Linked DNA regions of Drosophila melanogaster. The protein of the gene in region 2 interacts with the protein of the main gene of each other region in a pairwise test. Each region holds a gene or a part of one and is shown on either strand. Other genes may lie near its edges.

The links.
Region 1: the proteins of Neos (region 2) and CG11807 interact in a two-hybrid assay, tested with the Drosophila melanogaster proteins (one large-scale study listed by BioGRID).

Annotation. Positions count from the first base shown.
Region 1 is NT_033778.4:15,197,684-15,206,721, forward strand, and holds CG11807 (uncharacterized protein), read left to right. Parts: upstream 1-3,569; 5' UTR 3,570-3,636; exon of another isoform or gene 3,637-3,690; intron 3,691-3,783; 5' UTR 3,784-3,932; coding exon 3,933-4,148; intron 4,149-4,210; coding exon 4,211-4,444; intron 4,445-4,509; coding exon of another isoform or gene 4,510-5,271; exon of another isoform or gene 5,272-5,304; intron 5,305-5,338; coding exon 5,339-6,218; intron 6,219-6,277; coding exon 6,278-6,423; 3' UTR 6,424-6,492; exon of another isoform or gene 6,493-6,551; 3' UTR 6,552-6,783; downstream 6,784-9,038. Other genes in the region: GPHR (golgi pH regulator), read right to left, coding at 1,624-1,899, 1,952-2,137, 2,195-2,376, 2,436-2,620, 2,688-2,913, 2,974-3,244, 3,306-3,347; CG42391 (uncharacterized protein), read left to right, coding at 4,510-5,271.
Region 2 is NT_037436.4:7,238,370-7,246,058, reverse strand, and holds Neos (neosin), read right to left. Parts: upstream 4,432-7,689; 5' UTR 4,185-4,431; coding exon 3,763-4,184; intron 3,700-3,762; coding exon 3,006-3,699; 3' UTR 2,920-3,005; downstream 1-2,919. Other genes in the region: Cdc27 (cell division cycle 27), read left to right, coding at 1-227; mei-P22 (meiotic P22), read right to left, coding at 676-1,671; mRpL50 (mitochondrial ribosomal protein L50), read left to right, coding at 2,170-2,199, 2,256-2,365, 2,425-2,854; RpL18 (ribosomal protein L18), read left to right, coding at 4,831-4,833, 5,118-5,204, 5,282-5,758; BHD (Birt-Hogg-Dube), read right to left, coding at 5,895-6,015, 6,074-6,176, 6,266-7,424.

The DNA.
Region 1 (9,038 bases), on a different chromosome or scaffold from region 2:
ACCTTAAGCGTTGCGAATCTGACGCAATGCAAGACAAAAGGTCAAATGTCAAGCAGGAAATATGCTAAATATGCATAGGGCCTTCAGAAGAGGCGAGAAAAGGGGTAGAGAAAACAACAAAACAAAAGCAACCAGCCCCAAAAATGGCATATGCTCCTCTTTACGTTTCCCATCGATAAGATCAGGTCGATACACCAGGCGTATATGGGACGGCATGGGAAGAGCTGTGGAACACAGTCTCCGGAGACAACCAAAGGTGCAAACAAGGAAACTAATTGAATTTATGCTAATTAACCCACCGTGACTGGGGCATGCAGCGTTAATTATGGCATCCCCGACATACGGGGCGTATGCGTAATGCAAATGAAATTCTAATCAATTGCCTGGTAAAAATTAGCATAATGGCCATGGCGTCGGCTTAGGTAGAGCAAGTCTAACACACATTATCAATCACTAATCGATGAAATCGATAAGGTTAAAAGTAAACACGCAAAAGGGGGGCAGCAGAGCCTCATTTTCGCAACGGTTTTCTGTCTAATTAGGCAATGCGTTGTCTCTCCTCCGTGTTTAGTTACCAATTCACCGGGCTTCCAGCTGATTGATTTCACCTCATATATTGCGCTTTTGACTGCAGTTTTGGATCCGCAACCCGAACCCCTTCTTTTTTCCCTCTGGGTTGGTGCCCCTCAATCATTTTTATTTCATGATTTATTCATCTAGACTCTCGAAATGCTTTTCGCTCAGTTGGATCTGCGGCAGCCGCAACATTTTAATGGCATTTTTAGCCACCAAAGTGCGCAAATGGTTATATCCTTATCTGCCGTCTTGGGACCCGGAACAGTTGCCAATTTTTATTTTTATTTTTCCGTGCTGTAACGTCGCGTTTTCCGGGACATATAAAAAGTTGCCCATCTTTAATTGTAATTGCAATTTTATGTTGCCCTTTTTTTTACGTTTTGTCTAAGAGACCTTCTCAATTTGCCTCAGGTGTTTAAACGATACATAATATGTACTACACGTTGAACTGAAAGGTTGATATTAAAATAAAAATACTTTTTGTTTATGGTACACCATTCTATTGAACCTAGTCCTGCCCATTTGCACTTCTTTAGCCTAGCCTCCCACCCATCAAGTTGTCCCTGAGTTTTCCTTCAGTTTTCATTCCTCGAGGAACTACTGAGTAATGTTCTAAGACAATGGAACGTTGGTTATGAAATACTGTAAAAATTGTAACTGCTCAAATGTTAAAGCGCAACTCACTCAAAATTGAGCCAACCTTACACCAACAGGCAACTGGTAAAAGTAACCCAAAGACCTATATTAAGCATTGGAAAGCTTTTTTAAAGCTTAAGGCAGGGATATTTAAGCTTCGAATAAATATCCCTTTTCAGAGACAAACAGTTTGTTGTTTTATTTCACTTAATCAAACAAATGTTACTTTGATTTTTGTGCATCGTTATACAGTAAGTTAGCTTAATGTGCATTAAATATATACATACACACTGGTATATACACGGATATATATAACTTAAAGCTTGCAATAATTAGGCTAACTGATTCTAAATCGTTTCGGGTTATCCTAAAATGAGAGGCTAATGGCTCTCAGAAGCGCTCAAGTTTAAATCAGTTCAGATCGGAATCGTCCACGCGAACTGGCTTGCGTGACAGATATAGAACAATGATGGTGGTCAATGCGCTGACCAGGAATATTACGTCAAACCAACGATGGTAGAAGTTGAAGTGCAGATTTCCTAGAACCTCGGTGATGATCACACGATACTCGGCTGGCATGTTCATGCGCATCAGCAATACTGAGGAACAGAAGTACATGCCCATGATCTGGCCCAAAATAAGTACTATGATGTTGCTCGACTTGCTCGATGAAATGCGATAAAAGAACTACAAAAATATATTATAGCATAAGTTAAACATAAGAAATTGTGGCACTTACTTTTGTCAGCGTTAGCAACAAACCTCTAATCGAGGTGATCACAATGCAGCCGACGAGCAGAAATGATATATGCTGATTCCAGAACGCAAAGTCAATGTTAAAGCCGCACCAGTGTATGGCAATTTCAAGGCCTCGTGTGACTGGATCCTTGCGACCGACTCTATCGAAGATAATGTTGATGCAACACTGTTAAATAAACGTATTTTTAATCGAAACTATAAAGTTGTTTAATTATAGACCTACCATAAATATCTTATAAACACAATAAACACTAAAAAAATGTCCTAGTACATTGAAGTACTTTCCCTTCAATGTTTGAGACCATCTTTGGCGTTCTTCCATGTTTTTCAATGAACTAAGTTCTAAGAAAACAGAGCGTAATAGCTCCTCCAAGCCATACACTTCCTGTTTTAATTGATTGATGTCTGAAGAAATTAAGGGAAAAAATTAGGCATATAGATCACAGAATATCATCTATAACAACCTTCGCCACTGTTCGTGTTGCGCTGGACCGCAGAAGCAAGCATATCCCAAATTCTGGGTTTGGAAGGATTCAGTTTGTTGTGATTATAGATGGCCATGGCAATCTTCCGCTTTTTGGCCGACAGCATTTCTACTGTCAAAGCCAAACGCCTTTCAAAACAGATGATATCATTCCGAGACACTGGCCTGCCAAACAATAGAAAAAAAAGAAAAGTTAAACAGAGATAAGATGGAATTTAAGGCAACGCATTACTTGATGAAATAGGACATACTGGTGTACGGATAATTGACGGCACCAAAGCCAGAAAGTATGGCCATTACAGTGACCCCAATCACACTAATCCGGGAAACGCCCTGTTCGATCGTAAAGATTCCGTGGGAAGCGCTCAGCAAAGGAAAGGGGTCACCAATCCGCCAAAGCCCATATATAAAGATGAACCAACAGAATGTGGTCAGAATTCGGACCCATTTATCGGAAACTGAAAAGAAAATAAAAAGTTATTTGCGGTAAAATTTAGGATGCACTGAGATGGACTTACAGAAAGAAATGCTGTGTATCACGGAGTAGCAAATGTAAATGGGTATCACAGCCGTCGTCATAAAGAGTAGTAACGTGAGACCCAGTCGCCAATGGAAGTACCTTGAACTGGACTCCAGAACATCGATGATTTCGAATATGATCAACTCGAACATGGTTATGGATAAGGCAAATGTGGATGAAAAAATCAACTGAACGGATATATGTCGTATCTCATAGTGCTTGAAGAGTTCTTTGTTGAAAAACAGCCAGCCGCCGGCGAAGAATATCATCTGAAATATATTTCAATAAAGTTATTCTACTTAACATGTCCAAATTGAGACTTCCACTTGCCTGCGACACGAACACAATAACACAGTCGCCCAGGAAGGCCATTTTAATGCCTTGTCTGCCTTCAGATCGGATATGTCAATTACTTTCCAGATTGTCTTGTTACTGGCATTGCTTAGTTAAGCTAATTAACTTTAAAAAGAATTGTTCTGGGAACTGAAAATGCCAACAAGCAAATATAAACAAAAAAGCCGAAAGACAAGCAATCGATAATTCGATAGCACGTCAGGAAGGGATGTTTTCATACTGACAAAATATACCGTTTGGTATTTAATTAATGCGATTGCAGTGGTGTCACTTTAATATTCTTGTTTCTAAATTTAGCTTTGTTTAGGTAATGCACAATAATAATAGCGATTGAAACATTAAAGAAAATTGCCACAATTAGGTAGATAGTTTACTTTTTGAAATTAAGAATTAAATTTTATTTTTTATTTTATTATTATAACGCTTTGCCCATTAAATCACCTCTTGGCTATAGCCATTTATTGGCTTAATGGCCAAATGTCCATCGACCTCTGACAGCACTGCTGGCAATACTGGCTGATTGGACTATGTTTATTAAATGATTACTTGCTGGATGCGGATCCAGATGTTCGACCAAATCTCAGGGAAGCGGAAAGGACTGCGATGGCTTGCTATTACCGCCAGCATGCGGACACCACGGTGACGGTTCCAAAGTTTAGCAACGAGAGTTCCAGCGGCGGAGTGACCTACTACGATATCAAGGTGCGAGTGGGCAAGGTGGAATGGCTGGTGGAGCGCCGTTATCGGGACTTTGCAAATCTTCACGAGAAGCTGGTTGGCGAGATCTCCATCAGTAAGAAGTTGCTGCCGCCGAAGAAGGTACGCCCCCAAACATTTATTACACATACGTATGTAAGTTATGAATAATTTCCTATTTTCAGCTAGTTGGAAACAAGCAGCCCTCCTTTTTGGAGCAACGTCGTGAACAGTTGGAAATTTATCTTCAGGAGCTTCTCATCTACTTCCGTACAGAACTGCCGCGAGCTCTGGCCGAGTTTCTGGACTTTAACAAGTACGACATTATTTATCTGCTACAAGATCTTGCCAAGCTGTTCAATGAAAGCGGTGATGCTCTGCTCAGCTCCAAGAAGGAATACAACCTTTCAGCCCTAGAGGTAAGATATAATTATATGTAAGTGTTTCCTTTGCGTTTTTTGTTAAGTTCGAATATACAGAAAAAATGTCAAAATTATTAGTATTCAACTTTATCCAAACCATCCCTTTGCAGCTTAGAAATAACTTTAAAAGCAAAGTTAAAGCTAGACCCATTAGTTACTCCCTGGGTACCCTCCACAAGCATCACACAAATTTTTCTACAGAGCTGGAAAATACCATAAATTCTGAGAGCAATTTTAAGAATATCAGTAACCTTATAAAGTTTGTTCGACAACATAGTAAGTGGTACCGAGATAATGACTGTATTAATCGACATTATTTTAACTACATATTACTGGATCCTCGAGTAACAAATAATCTAAAAGAACGGGCCAGTCAACTTCACTTAATGGATGTTTGGTATACCTTTCTAAGAGCAATATTTTATGTAGGCAAAGGCAAGGCCACCCGCCCCTACGTTCATTTAAAAAACGCCCAGAAACTGGTAGATGAAACCAACAACATCACATTAGTAAAAGATCCCAAATTGGCGTTAATTGTGTCCATATGGAAGGCAAATCGTGGAGTCTTACTAATACGCGCTTTTCAGGGAATCTCGTCACAAGATGCGCAAACTCGTGAGGCATCTATCATTGATGCTCTCGGCATGAATCACTTGACTAACCGACGATTGGGTTTTTACTATGGTCGAGCTCGAAGTTTATCGGATAAGGAGAGAAAATATCTGGGGATAGCTTTACTTTACAAATTGATGATGAAGTTTCTAGCAAAAGAAGAAAAAGAACTATTTCCTTTAAAGAACACCAAGGCTGCAATGGCAGCTTAAATCAATATAAAATATACTTATACTACTTATTCTAAGATTGTTTTTTATTTTTTCCCCTTTCTACTAGGTCTACGCTATTAGTGAGCGGCTTAGTCTTCCCTGCCCACCGAGCCTGGATCGCGGTGGAAAGTACGACTTCTCGCACGTGCTGGACTTTTGCACACAACTTGTCGCTTTGGTGGTCACCCCGGTCAAGGACAATGCTAGCTATGCCCAGGATTACAATACGGTTGATGTGCCAATCGATCGCAGCAATATTATTCCGAACAGACTAAGTTTTAATCTAAATGCCTTTCGCAATCTCAAGACGCTCAAATTTTCGGCCTTGTCTACCGAAAACATTGTGGACATCGAACTTCTGAAGCCGACTCTCCAGACAATCTGTGTTCATAACACAACCATACAGAACATAAATCAAGTCCTGCTCTGCGACAATCTGCACAAGCACTGCGATGTGCCAAGCCTGCTGCCAGAGACTATCCTTGCATCCCCCTCCGGTTCCGGTCCCTCCACTTCTAATGGTAGTGCCTTGGTCAGTGCGGATGCGTGGCAAGAGATAACAGAACTCGACCTGACAGGCAATTTGCTAACCCAAATCGATGGCAGTGTACGAACAGCTCCAAAACTCAGACGCCTAATCCTTGACCAGAATCGAATACGGACCGTCCAAAATCTGGCCGAACTTCCTCAACTCCAATTGCTTTCGCTATCTGGGAATCTTATAGCAGAGTGTGTGGACTGGCATTTGACGATGGGAAACCTAGTCACTCTGAAGCTAGCTCAGAACAAAATCAAGACACTAAGTGGTCTGCGAAAACTACTTTCACTGGTTAACCTGGACCTTAGTTCCAATCAGATCGAGGAGCTTGATGAAGTTAATCATGTCGCCAATCTTCCGCTTCTAGAGACCCTTCGACTTACTGGAAATCCGCTGGCGGGCAGTGTGGGTGAGTTTTGAAAATGATTATAATTTCAGTTTTGTATACTACATTTTACGAATGTGCAGACTATCGCTCTCGCGTCCTTGCTCGATTTCACGAACGTGCTGCTGAAATATCTTTGGACAACGAACCTGGTAATCAGCAGGAGCTAGATACTGCTTTGGTATTGTCCGCCCTTCTGCAATCAAAGCAACGTCAGCAACAAAAGTGATCCTTCTTTATCGATTCCATATATAGACAAATCTGCGAACGAAATTTTAAATCTTATCTTCTTTTATAAGTATTGCCTATTGATATTTCTTGCAACTAAACCCTATTAACAAATATTATTTTCCTAAGGTTGTGGACTTTAAACGGTTTAAAGATTTCTTTCAAGGATATTTCCCACGTTAGAAGTAATTTTAATTTATTCAAAGTGATTTGTAAATTTCCATGTTTGTAAAATTCCCCGTATTCAGCCAAACTCTAAATGTATATGTTTTATCATTTCTGTCCCCCTTGATGTGCAATAATTCAATGCTCACTTCCAAACAAATAAGTTAAGTAAATCAAATAAATTATATATCTCGACAAAAAAAGGTTCGTAATTAATTATGAAATTGTATAACATAGTTCAGAAGGAAGCATTGCAACAATTTTCCTAGCTTTTGATCATTGATAGGACCAATCAGTCTTGATTATGTACAATTATTTCAATTATTGCCTAACTTATAAGTCAGATGCAAGGATTTCAAGAAGCCAATGCACAGTTAACCACCATGTACAACGTTCTGGTATTGTTCCTATTGCTTTTCACTCGTGCCCAGATGGAACCCCATAGAAGAGGTCATAACATGACTTTGCTGAGATCGGTGCTGACAGTCATCCGCGGCAGGGAGAATTGGAAAAATACCCCCATCTTCTTAGGCGGACATTGTAATTCGGATGACCTGAATAACTTGATGAGTTGGCTTCAAAATACGATGGAAGTAACTTGTCATACAGTGGATACATCTACTTCAGCCAAAAACGAAAACGCTCTGGGTCACTTTAACATAAATGCAGATAATTCGCTTGGTTTGTTGTTTTGCCAAAGCTCCCATGAATTGATTTGGTTTAATATGGATAAGAGACTTCGACGATTACGTGGTATTCGCCTTATTGTGATTCTATCAGACAAACGAAGTTCATCCAGCAAAGCTATAATGAGCACGTTTAAGAGACTGTGGCACTTTCAGTTCCAAAAATTTCCAAGGCTATGTGGTGTCTACCCCAGTGGAAAACGACATTCCGCGAGTGTTTTTCGTGAAGGACAAGAAAACCGGACGCAAGCAGATCAGAGGATTTGGATATCGCACATTTGTGGAGTACCTGCATCGCTACAATGCCTCTTTACATGTCAGTAATTCTCAGCAGGAGCATGCCATCAACAGCAGCGTGAATATGGGTCGGATAATTAATCAGATTGTGGATGGCCAATTAGAAATCTCCCTGCATCCGTATGTAGACGTTCCGGAAAATATGGGAGATAACAGTTATCCCCTTCTAATAGCTAGCAATTGTCTTATTGTTCCGGTCAGGAACGAGATATCTCGCTACATGTATCTACTATTGCCTCTCAACCAATCAAGCTGGATACTACTGCTCGGTTCTGTAATTTATATCAGCGGAGTGCTCTACTACATTCAGCCTGGTCTGCTGCACCGCACCTGGGATCAGCGGATTGGCCTCAACATCCTAGATAGCATCAGCCGAATAATTAATATATGCTCTCCCTCCAGGATTTACAACCCATCCCTGAGGTATTTTATAGTTTCGGTGCACCTTAGTATTCTGGGCTTTGTGGTGACCAACCTCTACAGCATTATGTTGGGCAGCTTCTTCACCACCTTGGTAGTGGGCGAGCAGGTGGACAGCATGCAGCAGCTCATCCAGTAACAGCAAAAGGTACTTGTAAAATATTACGAAGTCAGTACATTCTTACGGCATGTGGAACCAGATTTGGTGGACGGAGTAGCGCAACTATTAGTGGGCGTGAATGCCAGTGAGCAGGTGTCCGCTCTTCTGGGATTCAATCGGAGCTATGCCTACCCCTTCACCCTGGAGAGATGGGAGTTCTTCTCACTACAACAGCAATACGCCTTCAAGCCAATCTTCAGATTCTCATCGGCATGCCTGGGCTCCCCGATTATAGGCTATCCCATGAAAAGTGACTGCCACCTGCAGTCGTCATTGAACATGTTCATCATGCGGATCCAGGCCGCAGGACTTCTGCGGCACTGGGTAGTATCCGATTTTAACGATGCAATGCGCGCTGGCTATGTTCGACTTCTGGAAAACTTCCTAGGATTTCACTCGTTAGATGTCGATTCCTTGCGCCTGCGGTGGGCAGTACTCCTATGTGGGTGGCTGCTATCCACCTTGATTTTTCTTTGCGAGCGCTGGCGCTTTTACCACTAATTCACATAATTAGCGTTGTAATAACCTTATTACAATAATGGTTACCTTACCTGTCAATAAAATATTTTGTGCCCTCCCACTTTACCATAATTTGAATTCATGCCAATTAAACGAAATTGCGTAGACCACATGTGTGCGTGGTATTCAAGAATTCACAAACTTTTCAATACAAAACAAATAAAAGTCGTAATTAAGGATATGAAGGTATATTTTAAACTTACAAATTGTTTGTCATTTACAATTTAAATTGTTTGTCATTTACAATTAATAAGGTTCCAATATTCAAATGAATTGAAAGATATTTTAGATGTAAAGATAAAGATCCCATTGCAGAGGATTGATTACGCCTTTCAAAACGGATCTTTTGAAAATCCCAACTCACATCCA
Region 2 (7,689 bases):
AGACGCTCGGCAACATGGATCTGGCGCTGATGCACTTCAGCTGGGCCACCGACCTAGATCCCAAAGGTGCCAACAATCAAATCAAAGATGCCTTCGACTCAATGGCTCATCCCAGCTGCTGTCCGGCCAACACTACGGCCCTGGACGTTGATCTGGAGCCCACTTCGGAGCGTTCCGATGACTCGACGCAGGCGCAGCAGGACGGAAGCTACGACAGCGACTACTAGGGAGCTGCAACTCCAAATTCACGCGGTTGTATATACGTTAAATGAGAAACACAGTAAACAAAAAAGAAAACTTAGTAACAGATACAAAAAAAAACCCCGATCGATTGCTGCTGTATTGTCGTGGAGGAAAGGAAACCAATTATGAAGTATGATAAAGTCTAGATAACGTTTAGCATTAGTAATTTAAAATATACAAAAAAGTAAATGGTTTAAACAAAAATTGTGCACTCTGAAAGTCTAAGGCAAAATAACGAAAAAGAAACAACAACAACAAAAAACAACAACAATTAAATACCACTTAAAAATATACAAAAAAAAAGGGAGATATACATTTTAAATGTTAAGTTAAAGCAACAAGGATCTTATGGGAATTAAATATGTTGGACTTGGACATTAAAACTATTCAAAGTGAAAACATTATACTACTGCTATAAGTTCCCCATCATATCTAAGGTACTTCCAATTCATCCTCTTCATGTTTTATCGGAAAGCGCAGGATTTGCTCGTGGCTCAAGCCCTGAGTGATATCCAGCACGCAGCGCAGTCGCTCCAAGTCAACGTTCAACATGGTGGCCAGTGTGGGCAGATGCTCCTCCAGCAAAATGTACTGACGCGGCCGCTGCATGGTCAGAATGCTGCTGATGTCCTTGGTGCCGAAGATCTCGCCAATGGAATCGGACAGCGAGAAGTTCAAGGAGACATCGGAGTCGAGATCCGATGGCGATTTGTTTACGATTTCACCGCGCCGCTCCGGAGTTTGGATCTCATCGGGTGTGAGGCTTAGATCGCTAAGTTGCATAGCTGGAGCAGATAAGGATCGTCTTCGAGTGGCACAGCTGGAATCCTCAGCGGGCGGAAGTTGATGAACAAAATGGGCGGGATATTTGGCAGGCAGCTTGGATGGCGATGGTGTGCTTCCTAGCTGATCGGTGGAAATTCTTGACTGCAGTTTCTTAGCCGGTTGCTTTGGTTTTCGACCACGTTTTTTGGGAGTGCATTGAATGCTTCTCCTTTGTGAATTCCTTTGATGAACTTCTTTCTGAATATTATTCTTCTTCTTTACGGTCTTTTCAACTTCATCTAAACTTTTGAGGTGGATAATCTTATATGGAGGCTTCAGGTGAACGATTCTATTGGAAGTTTTCAAGGGGACAACTTTATCCCGGGATCCAAGATGGACTAGATTATCCGAGGATCTCACGGGCACCAACTTAGCTGCAGGCTTCAGGTGAACCACTTTCCCTTGCTGCAACAATAGTTCACTGTAATCATCTTCAGTGTTTCCAAATAACTGAGGAGAAAGACTTTTGGGCGGAATCTTCTGCAGATCCCGGTTTTCCTTGTCGATGAGGCGCTGTGATCGCCGCAATGGGGAGTGCTGGGAGCCACCCATAAAGGAGCAGTAGGTGGAGGCCGGACTCGGGACAACTGTTGTCCTGTCCATACTGTTTTATACTACATAAAGAACACCAATGTAGTTTAAAACTATTATTCAATGCAAAATTATAAAAAAATAACAGTTGGCGCGATAGCAGGACTTATCAATTGAATAACAGGACCTTATTATCGACAAAAGCTTAGAGCTGCCACGCAATTTAATAAAGTTATCGTTCGTAAAGTTATGTCGAATTTAGATTTAAATTGAAATTGATGAGGTAATATATTTTTAAAATAAAATCCTATCACTTATTGTTGCTTAAACTAAAATTTGTTTCAAGAAAGACTATTATGAGATAGATCTTCGACTAAAAATAACTCAATACTCATAATGTTTTCATTTTTTTTAAGTTTGTTTATAAATTTAACAGTGGGTAAACAGTGAGTCCACCTGGCAACGCTCAATGCAGTATTTTTGTGTTACCATCTCCTTACCTGTAAGTATAGTGAATATATTTTCAGTATTGACTGCCATGCCGCATTGTTTTCAATCTGGTCACATCCAATGGCAGCGATTTTACGTAAAACCCTAATTGTAAGTAAAAAATAATAAAAATGTTCACTTAAAATCCAATGCCACCATGAATTTAGCTTGCGGGAAGCCTGCATAGGAGTTTTGCCTCCGCCGCCAAGGCCGCAAAAGCAAAGCCCGTCAAAACCAGCACCATTTCAGCTGTCGGCGAGTCCATCGCCGCCAAGGGGTAAGCACTTTCTTTAATTTATTTACATAAAAACCAAGTAAATATTCTCCTGATTGTAGCTTCTTGCGTCCCCATAAGCCGTACTCCCCACCTGCAGATGCCGCCGAACGTATTCGAACCGTAGCCGCCTCGCTTCAACTGAAATCCGACCAGTTGGGGAATCTCTCCGAGAAATTCGAATTCCTGAACGCGTGCTTCCAGGAGCTGCAGCACGGAGTGCCCAACTCCCAGGTACATGAACTGCGCACCGTCAGCGATGTTATCGCTTTCTACCAAACAGCTGTGGACACCACCGTGCCGTTTGATGCACTGAAGCGCATCGAGCTGCCGGAGAATTTGCACATCCAGTACGAGTACGTGCGATTCCATCCCGAGACAGATACCAAATTCGACGGCAAAACGGCTTTCCCCAAGAGCTCCACCCTAGTCACCGGTCTCAAGTACCGTGGAAAGTACGAGGGACACGAAGCCAAGCGATCCTGGCCTTAGAAACAGCCAATTGTTAGTTGTTAATGTCTTACACTTATTAAATGCATTCTGGAAGCCCGAGATTTACGTCATATATATTAGGTATTACATTTATTAAATGTTAAATATGCTTAATGGCTAAAATTAATGAATACTACTAAGTATTGGTAGTCTATAAATACTCGGCTAAAATCTGTCTGAGATCCGAGTTGTAAACACTTTCCAGGGCCGCCAACACTCGATCGTCAGCAAGTAGCTCCATTAGCCTTCTGTCCTCCTTGACTGCCTCGAAAGTGGGATACATGAGCTCGCTGGTGACATCGGTTACTGCCGGCTTGTTCATGATGCTAAGAATCTTCTTCTGCAGCTCGATCTCTGGATCGGGAGCTTTTAGCTTGGCCAGAGCATTGGCCTCGCCCACCTCTCGCTTCAGTTGCTCCTCGCGTTCGCCTTCGAGGTACTTAAGAATCACCTCGTACTGCGACGCGGTCAATGGATGATTGTCTGCCAGCCTTTCCAGCAGCCCCTGCATTTCCTGGGGATGTCGTCGCTGTCCCTTGTGTATGGATGTTGACGGCGGTAAGACGACAGCGTCGCGCTGTTTTTTGAGCCTAAAATCGGTGGAGATCAGGGTGATGGCGTCCTCCAGCGGCATGTTGCGATGCTCAGCGGGTACGCCATACAAAATGTTTACTGTGATGCTGTTGTGTTCCTCGTGCTGCGGCGTGACCAATACCGCATACAAGCAGCCGCGCGAAGAGATGTTGGCCAGGACCTTGCCTAGCAAGACGTCCTCGTTGGGAAAGAGTACATCCACGCGCAGACTGGAATTCTTTAGCCGCTCCTCAATGTATTCTGCGTATTTGCTGCAGGTAATGAAAGCCATGAGTATCGTCTGGAGTTATAAGGTATTGGGGATCATAACTTACGTATTCTCGCGATTTTGGACTATGATCTCGCAATCATTGATGAGGGGTTGACCTGCTGCCGCTGCCGCCGCTGACATCACAAGTCCACCCTGAACTGTCACCTGGCCTCCTTGATTTGAATTTCTTTTGGCGATAGCATTGGCCGCCTTCGATTTAATGCTGGCGTTGCGTACGGTGAGCATGTTTTGCTTAAAAGTGGACTTGTGCAGGGCGGAGGCGGCTTTATTGGCCAGCTCCTCCGTTTCAAACTGCACGAATCCGTAGTTCTTCTGGACCATCGAACCGAGCACTTTGCCATATGGCTGGCAAATGCTCACCAGCTCCTCGCGCGTGCAAACCGGCAGGTTGCCCAAGAAGATTCGACTCTTTGCCAGGGCCGGATCCTTGGTTATGTTGTAGCCGGCGCTTCCTGGATCAGACATAGATATTTGAAGCTTTCTACTGCACACAAACCCGAAACTGAAGATTCTAGTGTGACCCGACGAGGCAATGCAAAAATACACACCGCTGAATAGTTATTATTCAGAATTGGCATCAGTTTTAATAAAAAAAAAGGGTCGCTTGATTTCCGAACCTTCTTGCATTAACTTGCTTATTAGAAATTCAATTTACAAAAATGCCATGTAAAAAATCAGATACTATTAATATTTTGTTGTACCCCCCTAATATTAAAAAAAAATCCTATGGTCATACTAATGATGTTATTAGCGGCGTTGCCACACTTGTATATCAAGCAAATAAGAGCTTTCACATATAATTTTGTTTTAATTTGATTTAGAGGTTTGGAAGTTTTACCCACAGTATTATTAATGCTAGAAATTTTGTTTATAAACTTAGGATATCGCTTAGAAAATAAATGAAGCTTGCGCCTTAACAGCACGCTGTTATCATAACAGCACAATTGGATATTTTAGCGTCTTGCTTGTGATCGGTGCAGCCACACTATTTTCTTTCTTTTGGCTTTCGTTTCCGGCGAGGTACGTGCAAGAAATTGATGCTCCACGTTTTTAGCTTAAATTAATGTCCAATTCTCTATTTTAGCGTTGATTAATACATTCAACAGAAGAAATGGTGGGTTACCGATAAAAGTGCGGCAATGATTCCAGCAGGAAACTGACAAATAACCTAAAACGCCAACTGTGGCTCAGCCCACGTGCATTGCGAAGCTTCCTGGCGACGGAATGAAATAAAAACAAATTTGTGTGGGCGGCATCTAGTTTGTGAAGCTAAAATACCATGAAATAAGCAGTTTAACTGATCGGTTCCATGGATATGTAGTAAACATACGCTCGAATGCCGACCAATTGTTTTTCCGATCATAAACACCAGTTCTAATACGTGTGTTTCGTTTGCAGGGTATTGATATCAACCACAAGTACGATCGCAAGGTTCGCAGAACCGAGCCCAAATCCCAGGATGTGTACCTGCGCCTGCTGGTCAAGGTGAGGCTTTCGATGGCGTTGACTACCAGCTGAATGTGGAGATTAATCTGTTTTTTTTTCTTTGTTTGCCCCCGCAGCTGTACCGCTTCCTTCAGCGCCGCACCAACAAGAAGTTCAACCGCATCATCCTGAAGCGTTTGTTCATGAGCAAGATCAACAGGCCGCCGCTATCGCTTCAGCGCATCGCTCGCTTCTTCAAGGCCGCCAACCAGCCGGAGTCTACCATCGTGGTCGTCGGCACCGTCACCGACGATGCCCGCCTCCTGGTGGTGCCCAAGCTCACCGTGTGCGCCCTGCACGTCACGCAGACCGCCAGGGAGCGCATCCTGAAGGCCGGCGGTGAGGTCCTGACCTTCGATCAACTGGCTCTCCGATCGCCCACCGGCAAGAACACGCTGCTGCTGCAGGGCAGGCGTACCGCCCGCACCGCCTGCAAGCACTTCGGCAAGGCTCCCGGTGTGCCCCACTCGCACACCCGCCCCTATGTCCGCTCTAAGGGACGCAAGTTCGAGCGTGCTCGTGGTCGTCGCTCCAGCTGCGGCTACAAGAAGTAAGCGACTGGCTGACTGGACTGGATTCGGCATCCTTTTGGTTAAGATAATGATTTTTCTCGCCATCGCACGGCAATAAAAGAGTTTTATTCCAAAAGGTGAAAAAGAAAGTCCTTAATCTGTGCGGTAATCGGTTGTACTAGTGAAGGTGTGTGCTCCAGTAGTTAATAATCGGCTGATCGTGCGGCTGCACGCCAAGCACCTTCTTAAGTTTGCCCTGCACGCTGGTGGATTTGGCATGGTTGAGGCAGGTCACTTTGCTGTAGATGGAATTCAATTGAGTTCGGATCTGTGCAGCAAAATAGGACGGCTACTCACTTTTTCCACTCTTCGATGAGCACCTTGGTCTGCTTGTTCAGCACGAGTTCTGTGAAGTTTTTCTCCTCCACCGCCTTTAAAAGTTTCACCATAAGATCTGGCACTAAAGTGGGAGAATCAATAGAATCAATATCAATATCCCCGACTCGTTTTTATCAGTGAAAGCGGGAACGGATTGGATGTGAAGCTTACATTTTCGTGGCAGCTCTCCTGGCCATTTGACCGACACCTCGTGTCCGTTGACGTGTTTGTCCAGAAAATCGATCCGATAAACGGAGCTACTGGCCATTGGCACGGCTATGTCATTGGACACGGATATGATTTTGTACTCGGAGCTGATGGAGTGTTGATGTTGGGCATCGATTCGCATTAGATTGTGCATGGGCTCGGGCAGGAGTTTCTTCAGGCAGACCATGAAACGGAAGGTCTTTCTGGGATCACCTCTGACCACAATCTTCACCCCAGTCAAGGCACAATAGCAGACCGTGGCAAACTCCTCCTTGCGGACGACACTCTTGAGATGGCGCAACGAGAAGAACTCCTCCAGATCGGGATCGTCGATGCTCTCTATCATTGGCAGTGTGGAACTGTTGTAGGTGAGTCGCTGTGCGGGAGGACGGCCACTACTTTGTGGCGGTAGCCACGGTAGGTTGCCGAAGGTCACGTGCTCGGTGAGGAAGCGGGATCCGGCTAGCAGGAGCCACGAGAAGTGTGAGTGCAACTGGGCGAAGATGTGCTCCTCGCCTGTTAGCTCCAGCAAGGCACGGGAAGTGGGCATCAGGAACTGAGCGCCGGACAGACGCCTCTGTCGCTCTGAGTACGTCTGCTCCTCCGTCTCCTTGGTCTTTTTGGCAGCTGCCTGCAGCTCCGACGACACCTTCTTCAGGTGCTCCGCCAGAAAGGGCTTGATGTTAAGCAGGAAATACTTGTCCTTCATCAGCACAATGATGGAGAACAGCTGCGAGTAGCCGCGGGCCTGCAGGTCGCTCACTCGGAAGGTGTGACTCAGGATGTGACCCCTGGACGAATCGCCAAAGAACACGAACTCGCCATCCTTGCTGGCATCCGTACCATTGCTCAGACTGAGCACCGCCGCCTGCTTGACCAGACTGGCCACCTCCGGCAGCACCGCCACCTTGGTGCTGACGAATGTGGCCCCGCTTTCCGTGTCCCTGCTGTAGATCGCATTGTTATTCTTGCCCATGGAGTAATTGCAGGCGGAGCAGGTCTTTTGCGTCTGCTGTTCCAGTGACAGGTCCTCCAGCTTGGTGTCCCTCAGTGTCTGGGTGCAGAAGATGGCGCAGGGACCGTGCGCCTCGCAAAAGTGGCACAGCGCTATCACGGCGTTCATCGCTGCTCTACAGTTTCCTTTATATCCTTGGTTATGTTATTGTTTATTTTGTTAGTTAATAATACTAGAGTGACCAGTTGCGTACATTCACTGAAATACCAGAAATGGCGGTAAGAACATAGAAAACATTGCAGGGATTTCTTAAGCGATATTTTAAATTTTGCGGGAATATACATTTTATTCTTGTTTTGTATATGTAAAATATAAATACTAAACTATAAATCAATGTGCTATGACGACATAATATTAAATAAATACACATGAC